Oryzias latipes: one gene and its partners. The protein of the gene in region 2 purifies or fractionates together with the protein of the main gene of each other region. This does not show direct contact. Links are inferred from orthologs where the notes say so. Each region holds a gene or a part of one and is shown on either strand. Other genes may lie near its edges.

Region 1 (4,328 bases), on a different chromosome or scaffold from region 2:
CACAAAAGCACAGAAGCCGAGAGTGCAACATTTAATGACGAGAATTAAAGAAAAATACAGAAGAATTACACAGTTTAGGGTCTGCAGTTACGCTTTAGGTCTCAAATTGGACGCAAAACTTCTGAAAGTTCATAAATAAAAAGAGTAAATCAAGTGTGTCAAAGGATAAAAACTGGTTTAAGCTGAGTAAAAAAAAAAACGACACGAACCTCTCCAAAGGCACCAAAGTACTCTCGGACCTTCTCCTCTGGGGTGTCTGGAGACAAACCACCAACGAAGACTTTCTTCACCGGCTCCTTGCTCTTCATGGCCTTGGCTTTTTTAGGGTCGATGACTTTTCCGTTGAGTTTATGTTCCTTCTGTGACGCCACCTTCAGAACAGAAAGCAGCAAATACATAAATAAAACTCACTAAATGACACAACAACAACAAGAAAAAAATCAAAGCTGATGTAATAATTAGAAACAGAATATAGAAGGAAAATGTTGAGGCGTGTCTCCACAGAAATCTGCTGCTCATAACAACATCAAACGTAAAGAAATATTTCAAAAGGCTGACGTGTTCACTCATGAGTTTGTCTGAAATCTTCTGAATTTATTTGATAAATAATATTATTGCTTTTTTTCGCATGAAGGAAATGACTAAGCCTCCAAAATAAAAGACGAACTTGGAGCTGAAACAGTTAAATGTTAAACTGCTTCACTGATTTATTGTCAATTCAGTGTGATTCGAACAAATATGTATTTATTTCAAAAAAGTTGTGAAACAAACTTTTTTTAAATGAGTTAAGTTAATCTGCACGTATCTGTTGATTTAAACTGAACAAAGGTGAACGTTTTATGAATAAATTCTTGAATGTTTGAAATTCTTGAAAAATAAAAAATAAAAAGCTGCTTTTTAAAAAAGTCAAAACAGAAGACAGTGCTTACAAGAAAATTTCCTTGATCTGAGAGACATTTGATTAGATCAGACTGTTTTTTTCAACACCACCCCAGTAAAAACAACATTTAGGTATTGAACAGAATCGAACCTTTTCCACACTTTCGGCGTCTTTGAAGAGCACAAAGCCGAAGCCCCTGGAGCGTCCGGTCATGGGGTCCAGCTTTAATGTGCAGTCTACCACCTCCCCGAACTTTGCAAAGTAATCTTTCAGGTCTTTCTTCGTGGTGTCCCAGCTCAGGCCTCCAACAAACATCTTCCTGCCAGCAAAAAAACATTTGGAAGGAGATCCGTGGTATAAGTTTGTGTTTGTTGTGACCCAAGTCCTAACTATAAGAATCTTTCCTCGGGTTGCTGCTGGCATTTTCATTCATAAAATATAAAACGAGTGAACAGTGTGATGAAAGAAGTGAAACAGAAAGAACTGAAGAAAGCCTCTTTGTTTTTATATGACCCCGAAGAACCCACAGGGTCAAATTTGGCAGCTTTTCCTTTTTTTTAATTTATGTTTTTATGTAAATTATGTTTTTCTATTGTGTTTTTTAGCCACAGTTAATTGCTGCTCCCCGAAACAAACAAAGAAACTTTCAAATGAACTTCAAAGACCCACTAATGAAAAAGGTGTTTGGGGTATTTTTAGCATGTTCTTGTAGCATTTTTCTGATGATGGACGACATTTATGGTAAAATTAAGCTTAGACTGTGTTTCTGAGTATTTCTTTATTCAAATCGTTGTGCATCAGGGGCAGACGAAGAGTTTGAAAAAGATCATATTTGTGATGTAGAAAAAACACGCTGGGCGGGGCCACAACCTCCCTGCTCCTCTCCATTCTAATGCATCCACTTACATACAGACTAATAGATCCATCTGCAAAGCTTTGTTTTCCTCGTCTGAGCTGGAATCTGGATCTGAATTTGTTGCCCCGCTAATGGTAGCTTGGGGTTGTGAGAAGCCATAAGCTAGCAGGAGGGCTTGTGAATAGAGACCTCTCAGTTAGGGTGATGGGGGGGGGGGGGGGTCTGTGCCAATGGTCCCGCCCACAATTTAGAGGTGAATTTCTAATAAACTCCCGCCGCTCTGCAGAAACTAAGTCTTACAAAAAGACAGGTTTTTTTTATTTAGCTAAAACGGTATAATCCTAATCAAAATAAACGCCAATACATTTTTGGAACTCACCAAACGTTGCCGCAAATATAAAACAATTTGAAAATAACTACAACAAATGTGCGTCCATGGATCAACAGTGCCGTGGATAACCGTGCAGGAGCTTTCCCGGTCATCCGAGCTGTATGTCCCAGAAGTCTCTCTGGGAGTATGTTTGTATGAAAGGCTCCCCGCGCGGATAAACTTACCCTTCATCTTCTTCGTTTTTGCTGGCGTCGATCCTTGATCCCTCGGCCTCGTCCCCCATCAGGCCGCCATCCCCCTGAGCTGACATGGGGTCGTCATTGTTAGCCTCTCCATCCTCCTCCATCCTCATCATACTCGGGTCTTCGCTAAATTCATAATCCTCAGACATCTTCACTTTTTTCTCGAAAAGATCAAATGCTAGTTCTAATGAAATGATTTTCGGAAAAAAAAAAATCAAAAGTAATTTTGAGCCAAAAAAAATTCGATTTATTTTAAGCTAACAGCCAAGATAGTTGCTAGCTGCTAACAGATAACAAATAACAAAAGCCGATGTTCAAAAACAGGACGAGGCTAGCTCAACTTATTCGAAGTTATCTCAAAATTTAAATAGATAAAGAAAACGCCTTGATCTCTAAATATAATTTTCTTTCAGTTCTAATAATTTTAAAGGATATTTTTTCATCCGATATTTTAGTTTTCTTGCCAGTCGTTTCTTGTTTGTCTACTTCTGCGAATCCCAAGTGAGCATTTGAGTGCAGAGCGCCACCTGCTGCAGCGGAGATGTAACACCAGGGTAATTTGTAAATAATTGAATATTTTACATTTTTTAAAAGGGACTTTATTCAAATGAATTGTTCTCTTATTAATAAATAAATAAAGAGATTTGTTGTTTTAGTTTTGAGCCTAATTTTCCAAGATCCAATTATCTTCATCTTAAAAATCTTTAGATACAGTTCTAAATCTAAATATGAAAGACTTTTAGTATTGGACCTTTTTTTCTCTCCAAAATAATGGAAATGGTTTTAGGAGAAACCAATCAATCAATCAATACATACATACATAAATAAATAAAAAGCATGACCAACTCTATATTTGATTGTTTTGTTTAAAAATGCTAGGCAACAAAAACAAAAATAAAATTCTGAAATTGAAATGAAAGGAAAGGAAAACTGCTCAGCAAACGAGCAACCAGAAGAAAAACTTTATCAAAATCAAAAATCATACTAACACTGACACTCATGATGGCGCATCAGGGACACCATCAAAGAAGAAAAAAAGACATATGTATGAAAATAAAGTCATACAATTATTAAATAAAGTTAAAAGTTAGGAGCATTAGTTTGTACAACATGAGAACAAAGTCATACAGTTATGAAGAAAAATCTAATTTGTGAGAAGAAAGTTGTACAATTGTGAAAAATAATTCAACAATTTTCATATATAATGATAAACAAAGGCTTCAAAAAGTTGTAAAAAAATATTACATTTAGCTTTTAAAATGTGCAAAAAAACAGTTTTATACCTGATTTATCAAGAAATCTGTTTTTGTAACTGTATTTTTATGAATTTATAACTTTTATTTGACAAAAGCATGAAAAAACGTAAGTGGTTTATCAAAAATAGATGGTAATACTTATTATTTCTTGCAAAAATTGTTCTAATGCAACATATTGTGGTCTGTATTCGAAAATCTAGTGTGCATCGATCTGGTGTTGCACACTGGTTTTTCGCAGAGACTTCTGGGAAATTTGTAGGGCACTTGATTTTGGAATTTAAATGTGAATATTGGGCCATTCGATTTCGGAATAGATGCGGACAAAATGGCAAACGCACTATAGTGAGTAGTCGTCTTGTAATTCAATAGTTTGGTACTCATCACCAATTTCTGGTTTCCCCACTAAAATAAGTTTTACGACTCAACAGCGCCATCTCCCGACGCGGAGGCTAAACTGACGATGCTGAACATGTGAGCTGGTTGTTGCTTTGTAATGGTTGTCGAGCTCATGTCACGGACAGGTTGTGTCAAACGTAACTGTTTGGATTTCGATCGGTGTTGATTTTTCTGTCTGGAGAAGCAGCGAGTATCGGACCGGACCGGACCGAATCGCCGCCTGGCTGGAATCCTGCGGTGCCGCCGCCCGCTGTCCTTTAAGCTCAGACCAGCTAACGTCTCCAGCTGCTTTTTGTGATCAACAATGGCCTCTGTCTCCATCCCTGCGTGCACTGGTGCTCTGCTGTTGGACATTGAAGGCACCACC
Region 2 (3,529 bases):
AAATCCGATTGAGCATTAAGCCCTGCAGTGTGAACGTAGAGCTTTAATAAGTTTTTCTGTTTTACAAGCAGCATTTTGTTGTCTGATCCTGCTTCACAGCGAAAAAATGCACAGAAATCGCAATTTTAAGCTTCTTTTCCGAAAAAAAATATCCTCCATCATCAGAACCATGCCACGAAAACATGTTAAAAAACACCAAAGACACCATTTATATCAGAGTGGGTTTTTAAATCTACTGGGGATTTTTCCGTGCCGAGCTGCGCTTCCTGGAAACCTGACTCAGAGTGGTCAGTTTGATTTCAGGTGAGTTTGGTGAGTGGATCTCAACTCGCTGACTCTCTGACTGTAGACACCACATGGCAAGAACTATTTTAACAATCTGCCTATTTGGAGTAGAAATAATATCTGTCTGTTCGTGGCATTTGAATATTTAAACCACTAGTTTATGATTTAAATCATTTTAATAACTCGTGGTCTTGTTCTGTGTCAGAATGGAACCAGCTTCCATGTGTTCGATCAGTGCCGGTTCTCTAAAGAAGTCTTGCCGAAGTTCTTCAAGCACAACAACATGGCCAGCTTCATCCGACAGCTCAACATGTGTGAGTACCAGCGGGCGACTCTGCTCACCTCAACCGAGGATACAGATAAACGCTGGAATTACAGAAGCTGTTTGATGTTCTGTGTCTGTCTGTGGCCAGATGGTTTCCGTAAGGTTGTGCACATTGAGCAGGGCGGTTTGGTGAAACCAGAAAAAGACGACACAGAGTTCCAGCATCCGTTCTTCATCAGAGGACAAGAACACCTTCTGGAAAACATCAAACGCAAAGTCACTAATGTATGTGCCTGCAAAAGCACCCCAACAAGGCCAGATTTTAGGCTTTTGGGATCCAATAAAAGAAGTTTTTTTTAGCCTATTCTCATCTTAAATGCACACATTTATTATTCTCATAATCTTCATTGTAGGTTAACATCAAAAACATTCTGGATAGAAATCTAAAAATGAATAGAATGATTTAAAAAAAAAGTTGAACTTTGTGAAAATGGGAATTCTGGAGTTTTTCTTGGCCCCCTGGTCCACAGTGACAGTCCCCCTTTTTACCTGACCCTTGCAGGTCTCGTCGGTCCGTCATGATGATGTGAAACTCTGTGCTGATGACGTGAGCAAAATCCTGAACGATGTCCAGACAATGAAGGGAAAACAAGAAACCATCGACTCCAGGATTATCGCAATGAAACAGTAAGAACCAAAAAAAAAGCTCCCAGCTCTGCTCCATTCTGATGCACCCCCCTGCAGGTGGACGTCTTTGTTTTCTGGCAACTCGCTCCAAACTGTACAGCCGGATAGCTCCAATATTGCTCGTCATTCTGACTGCACCAGTAATGTTAGGCTGGATGTGTCAGGGGCTGTAAGCTAGCAGGAAAGAGTGTAAACTTTGATTTTATCTTTAAAACAGTGTAACTAAAATAATAAAAAAATAAACACTGGGAACGTGTTTAAAATTGATCAAAAGATGATGGGAGCAGGTCTTAAACTGTGAGTTGTGGTGGTCTTTTCCTGAAACTGCGTTGCTCCCCACATTCTCCCATTGTTTGGTCTCACTTTGTTGTCAGTCTCCTGACCTGTAAACTATGTTCCTGTGTTTCAGTGAGAACGAGGCTCTGTGGAGGGAAGTGGCCAGTCTGAGGCAGAAACATGCTCAGCAGCAGAAAGTTGTCAACAAGGTACAAACATGTAATCAAGGAGCACAGAGTAGAGGTGGCGTGTACGTGAAGTGTGGAGGAGCAGCCGTGTTTAGAGCTACATGCATTTGTCGTTGAATAGAAAATGTGGTTGTTGTTGTGCGTTTTGTGTTAAAACTGAGTGTTTCATCTTTCTGTGCACAAACACTGATTGGCAACCTTGTTTACATTGTGAACATCCACCCATCCTTGTATAGACTACAGTTAATTTTGATGGCGGGAAATGTAAATAGTCAGTGCATACGATTTTTAACACAATGCTAGCACGTTAGCATACACCTCGCTGCATCAATGCTATTTTTTCTCTCTCTCTCTCTGCAGTTGATCCAGTTTCTAGTGTCTCTTGTCCAGACCAACAGGATCATGGGAGTCAAGCGAAAAATGCAAGTTTAAATCTGAAATGGGACCATTGACTGTATATCAGAACTGGAGGGGAGTGAGTGTGGCGTCACCCTTAGAAAATGTCTTCAACAAAATTAAATCAATTCAGTCACCATTTTTTTTCGTGAGACGGACGCCGCCATGTTGGAGCCATACGTCGTCGGTAACCAGCCAGTTGGTCTGAACCAACATTTCTATGGCAACCACTCTGGCCAATCACGAGTGACTTTCTTGGAAGGCCACAACCCTATCACTTGAATCTGTCAGACGCTTGAAACATTAGACGTGAGACCAAAAAAAACCTTTATTTTAAGGCATCTGATTGGTCGGTTTGTAACTTGAAATGCAGAAAAAATATGTCAAGTCTACAGGATTTTGGCTTTTTGGAGCCAGTGGGTACTTCCTGTTTGGAACGCCAGGGGGGAGGGGGTCACTGAGTCCAGTTTTTATATACAGTCTTTGAATAGGACTTAACCTCTCAAGCATTTTAAGTTTTTCAGACACCAAAACATTAGGTTGAAGAAAAGGATTTACTAAAAGACGAAAAATGTTTTTAGTTTGTGCAGTTTTTGCATTTGCTGTGTTTGTTTACTCACCTTTTCTCCCCTCCACCTTTAGTCCTCTGATGCTGAACGACTCCAGCTCCACTCACTCCATACCGAAGTTCAGCCGTCCATACGTGCAGGTAACAGAGCCTACGTTTCTCTCTGAGTTCTCTCACATACCTGAACAACATGGCACTCCTGATGCTCAGAAACAGGTCAGAGGTCATGGGGTTAATGGAGGGCATCTCTTGTTTTGATTTAGTTGAAAACAGTTTTGTTGGTTAAAAATATATTAACCTTGCGTTGGTATACTTCTAAAGTTTTTTCTCACACTATTATCTAAGGAGATGTGAAGACAGCGGACGATCATGTGTTTTCTGTGGGGTGAGTCTTATTTAAGCTCCATCTTTTTCCTCTTCAGGCGGCAGCTAATCCCTTCTCAGCCGACTCTGCTCTGAGTTCTGGACCAATCATCTCAGACATAACAGAGCTGGCCACTTCTGCCTCAGACGACGTTGTCAGTGAGTGGATTAACCCAAAGTAAGCACCTGCAGATCATCCTCCCTTAAATGATCAGTCAGCGGTCAGTGAGGCGTCTCTAATCCCAGCCCTTCTGCTTTATAGGGAGAACGAATCTGTTAACATAAAGGAGGAGCCGTCCAGTCCGGAAGTGGAGGAAATACCCATTATCGAGGAAGAGCCAGTGCATGTGGAGACCCCCTTTTCACCCACCACCTTCATCAACTCCATACTTCAGGAAGAAGCACAGCCAGCAGCAGTTACCGCCACCCCCTCCCCAGCAGGCAAGCAGAGTGCAAGACTTAGTTGGATTTTCCTACATATGTTCCCTCGGACTGACCTAA
Region 3 (4,162 bases), on a different chromosome or scaffold from region 2:
GCGTGTGAACTTGTTTTTAAACACCTTTCATGTTTTAATGTTCAGCTATCGAGTTATTTTTATTCTTCTGTTTAAACTCTGCTGTAATGTCCGGACTTGATGCTGTGTGCTTTATAAAGTTAGGCTTTGTGTAGCCTGTAGAGTTCTTTTTACAGATTTTTGACTAATCAGAATAATTTTATTGTCATTGTATATGGTGATACAATGTAATTGCAGCAGCCTTGGAGTGATGAAGATAAATAAAATATGTATTTAGTGTAAAATTTAAATGTAAAGAAAAAAAATTAATTCACACGACACTAATGTGATTATCCTTATAACAACAGTATAGTAAAGGGAGAATGGATTATTTTACAATAACTCTAACCCATAAACAGTTTATCCCAGTATATATGGTGAGTCATAAACAGTCTCTGACATGACCTTATAGAGTCACAGAAAGCTTAGCCTTATCTTTATAAAGGACATTATTATTATTATTATTAAGAGTTTAACTATTAATCTAGTTAATTAATAGTTAATTAATATTAATTAATTTCTATTTGTACAATCGAGTGGACCTATACCATTATAAACTCGTGTCAAAATCAATTAAATCAATATTAGAAAATTCCATCTGGATTGAGGTAAAATTAATGGTCACACTCCTAATTATTTATTAATTTTTTCAACATGAATAATTTACTCTCCTGTTTTGCAGCATTTGACATAATTTAAACTATTTATAAATAACAATGGTTTCAAATATCAGTTTGATAATCAAACAGCTGTTTGCTGCACATATTTAGAATGACTACTTTGTATGTTTTTAAATCTTTTAAAGTTGTTTTAAAGTTTAGATCCTTCATATATGTTTAACATAATCATTAGATAGTATCCACTAGAATTTAGATTCCAAAAAGCGGCTTTAATATGAAATATTGATGAAAGCAAATGTTTGTCTGGACTGGAAAACAGAGTAATGTTATAAGCAGCTGTCTCTTTGTGGGGGGGTTGTGTTTGAACCTTTTGATTTTTCATTTTGTTTGTAGATTTTTACTCATTTTTAATGATAAAATAGAATTGGACTAGTTTATTTAGTGACCAAATCTCATTGAACATGTGTTCCTCGCCGGAGGCACGCATGTGTTTTTGAACATGTTTAGCCCCCCCCCCCCGTCTGGGCTCTGATGGAGTCGTCTCCGCTGCTCTCCGGTCCGTCGTCACGTTTCAGGTGGAGCTGCTCTCGGTAAACCCTCGTGGGGGTCTCCGGCTTGGATCTGCAGCTCCGCCCCCCCCCCCCCCCCCGCCCCCCTTGCCGCCCCCACAGTTAACCCTGCTATTTCCAGAAGCTTCCAGCCCACTTCCCCACGTCACTCCACGGAGTCTTTAAAGCGCCCGCCGCCCGTATAAAATGTCTTAGTACCGGAGCGCGAGCAGCATGAGCGCCGTGCAGACACGCGCCCCCGCGCCGACCATGGCTAACAACGACAGCGACCCCCTGCCCCTCGGCTGGGAGGTCAAAATCGACCCCCAGACCGGATGGCCGTTTTTCGTGGATCACAACAACCGAACCACAACCTGGAATGACCCGAGACACGTCGCGACAAAGGTGAAGGAGCGCGCGGGCAAAGTTGCTTCCCCGGCGGGAAGCGCTCGCGGGGAATCTGCGTTGGTTGTTTCTGCGGAACATTGTATTGTCGGTGGTAACGGCTGATCGGTCCCGCCATGTCCTCGTGTCATCATAACTATTATTACGCGATGAGTCACCCTGCAGTATGTGGCGGCCGGGACGGGGGGGCCGTTTTCACATTAAGGTCATTTTCCCAGCAGGGACCGCGGCTGGGCTGCTGTGTGTGGCGGGGGCTGCTGGGCGGGCGGTCCCGGGCAGAGGGCAAAGGGTCGTTCCGGAGGAGACACCGACGGGGTACCGATTGTTGACCGTTTTCCTCCAGGTTTTGGTCTCCTTTGGTTGGGGAGGGGGGGGGGGCATCAGACCTGTTGCTCTCTGCTCCTTCACTTCTTCCTGACATCTCGTGCTTTTATTTTTAAATTCTCTTCCTGTCTGATCGGTTTTCATGGAGGAAAATAGTTCACAGCGGTGACCTGTTCCATAAAGAACATTCAAAAAGACAAACAGTTGGTCTCCTTCAGATTAAAAGTGCTGTCCTGTGTGATGTTGGCGTGTTGGGGGTCAGAGGGGGGGGGCGCTGGGCACAGGGACACATCTTCAGGAGGCAAACTAGCAGCTGCCGGGCTGGAATGCAGAGGTTGTTCTGGCAGGGCAGCGTCACTTTTGGCTGCTGGGTGAGGAAATGTGACCCGGGACGGAGAAGGCGGAACGTGGATCTGGAGAAAGCGGAACGTGGATCTGGAGAAGGCGGAACGTGGATCTGGAGAAAGCGGAACGTGGATCTGGAGAAAGCGGAACGTGGATCTGGAGAAGGCAGAACGTGGATCTGTGGAGGATTTCCACCTGCGGCCGGACGGTCGCGAACACAGACGTCTGCACAGACGCTCACCTGACGTCAACGGCCCAAAGCACCGTTATATTTGGAAAACACACCTGGAAAACATGGAGGCAGCATGAGACGGGGGCTTTGTGAGCAGCTGTGGTGCAGAGGTAGAGCGGTTGACTCTGGATTAGGAGGTCTCGGGTTTGATTCTGGCCTTGCTCTGCCCCCATCAGAGTGTGTAAAGCACTTTAGGCTTTAGAAAAGCACTATAGAAGCACAAATACACAATTATACAAAATATCACTGATGAATCAGTGGTGGAAGTCTTAAAGTTTTTACCTGAGATTTGTGTGTGTTTTTTTAATGAATTTAAAGGTTTTTTGGTTCTAAATTCTTTCCCCTGCCTATATTTCAGAGTAGAGAAGCAAACGGACCCAACATACCTCCAGAACAACATCCTAAGGAGACCCAGAAGACCTTTACCCGAGAGATGAAGCACCCGATTCTGCGGCCCGGCTACATCCCCATCCCCGTCTTCCATGAGGGCGCAGAGCTGCGGCAGCAGCCGCCGCATCCCTGCTGTACGTACATCCAGCCAAGCACAGCGCAGAGTGTCCGGTACGAAGGTCAGGCTCCTTCGCACGCCTCCGGACTTCACGGCAGGCCCAGATCGCCGTTACACGTGGCCTCAGACAGCTGCTCCTCTGAGCCCGGGAGGGCCAGCACGCCCACGCCGCCAACCACAGAGGTACGGGTAACATTTGGGTTCTTCACTGACAGCCACCCTTGATTACAGTGGGAGTTTTCAAAATAACGCATTTCATACACGGAGGAGATTGATTGACAAGGTCAACAGCCAATCAGGATGCAGAACATAGCGAGCTGTGAAGTAAAATGGAAATTGGCTATAAAAAGGTGGCCGGCGATCTAGTGAGGGACCAGCATGAGCTGAAGCGGGTAACATTTGTGCGACCAAACGTGTTCACTGCGTTCTGACTGTGTTGCTGCTCAGGTGCACACCGCCACACACCACCAACCGTGTCGACCCGGCAGCACCGGCCTCCAGGCCGGTTACATTCCTATTCCAGTCATCCATGAGGGCGGAGGGGGTCCGCCTCAGGTAAACCCCGCCGTCTACTCTCAGCGCGCCCCCTACCAGCGCCTCCAGACAGACGAACGGCCCGCCTACTCTGCGGCGCCGTCTTCTCGGGAAAGTGCTTCCCCGACGTCGCTGTTCCCGCAGCACCGGGACGCAGCGTCTGCCCGCCTCCCACCTTCGCTTAGGAGCCAGTCCCCGACGGTATCGCAGCTGCAGGCGGACAGACCGCAGGTGGGCTTTCCGGTCTTTTCCTTTTGCCAGCGTGTCCCAGATTCTGACATAAAACTGTAACTTTGTTATTTGGATCTCAGCAGAACCTCCTCACTAGAGACCCGGCCCAGAAAGTGGAGCAGGAGCTGCAGAAAGCAGAGAACCTGCCGGTTCCTCAACCGCAGCTCACAGAGGTGGACGCTCCACATCTGGAGCAGCCTCAGTCCCAGGAGCCGCAGCATCACGTTGCAGACATCACGGTTCAAATCCCTCCAAAAGCAGAGGTTCAGGACCCAGCCGGCCCTGAAGCCCCCCCAACCAGAGCAGAGGGGGAGCAGGGCGCCGTTCACCCGGGCTTGGCGAAGGTTCAGCAGATCGTGGGACGGGTGGCTTCGCTGGAGCAGGAGGCCAAGGCTTT

Evidence for each region. Proteins that work in one complex are often made in the same cells at the same time.
Region 1: the proteins of hsf1 (region 2) and heterogeneous nuclear ribonucleoprotein D0-like purify together in Homo sapiens (affinity purification with mass spectrometry; 3 studies listed by BioGRID, with this or other methods). This does not show direct contact. The link is inferred for Oryzias latipes from reciprocal best matches to the Homo sapiens genes HSF1 and HNRNPD.
Region 3: the proteins of hsf1 (region 2) and bag3 purify together in Homo sapiens (affinity purification with mass spectrometry; 3 studies listed by BioGRID and IntAct, with this or other methods). This does not show direct contact. The link is inferred for Oryzias latipes from reciprocal best matches to the Homo sapiens genes HSF1 and BAG3.

What each region holds. Positions count from the first base shown.
Region 1 is NC_019870.2:2,825,313-2,829,640, forward strand, and holds the start of heterogeneous nuclear ribonucleoprotein D0-like, read right to left. Parts: upstream 2,820-4,328; 5' UTR 2,459-2,819; coding exon 2,292-2,458; intron 1,200-2,291; coding exon 1,031-1,199; intron 372-1,030; coding exon 210-371; intron 1-209. Other genes in the region: enoph1 (enolase-phosphatase E1), read left to right, coding at 4,266-4,328. UniProt on the Homo sapiens protein: Binds with high affinity to RNA molecules that contain AU-rich elements (AREs) found within the 3'-UTR of many proto-oncogenes and cytokine mRNAs.
Region 2 is NC_019869.2:4,832,601-4,836,129, forward strand, and holds part of hsf1 (heat shock factor protein 1), read left to right. Parts: intron 1-490; coding exon 491-599; intron 600-698; coding exon 699-835; intron 836-1,112; coding exon 1,113-1,237; intron 1,238-1,646; coding exon 1,647-1,722; intron 1,723-2,061; coding exon 2,062-2,123; intron 2,124-2,739; coding exon 2,740-2,806; intron 2,807-3,087; coding exon 3,088-3,206; intron 3,207-3,290; coding exon 3,291-3,469; intron 3,470-3,529. UniProt on the Homo sapiens protein: Functions as a stress-inducible and DNA-binding transcription factor that plays a central role in the transcriptional activation of the heat shock response (HSR), leading to the expression of a large class of molecular chaperones, heat shock proteins (HSPs), that protect cells from cellular insult damage.
Region 3 is NC_019873.2:29,858,995-29,863,156, forward strand, and holds the start of bag3 (BAG family molecular chaperone regulator 3), read left to right. Parts: upstream 1-1,343; 5' UTR 1,344-1,420; coding exon 1,421-1,591; intron 1,592-2,850; coding exon 2,851-3,183; intron 3,184-3,447; coding exon 3,448-3,765; intron 3,766-3,845; coding exon 3,846-4,162. UniProt on the Homo sapiens protein: Co-chaperone and adapter protein that connects different classes of molecular chaperones including heat shock proteins 70 (HSP70s), e.g. HSPA1A/HSP70 or HSPA8/HSC70, and small heat shock proteins (sHSPs), e.g. HSPB8.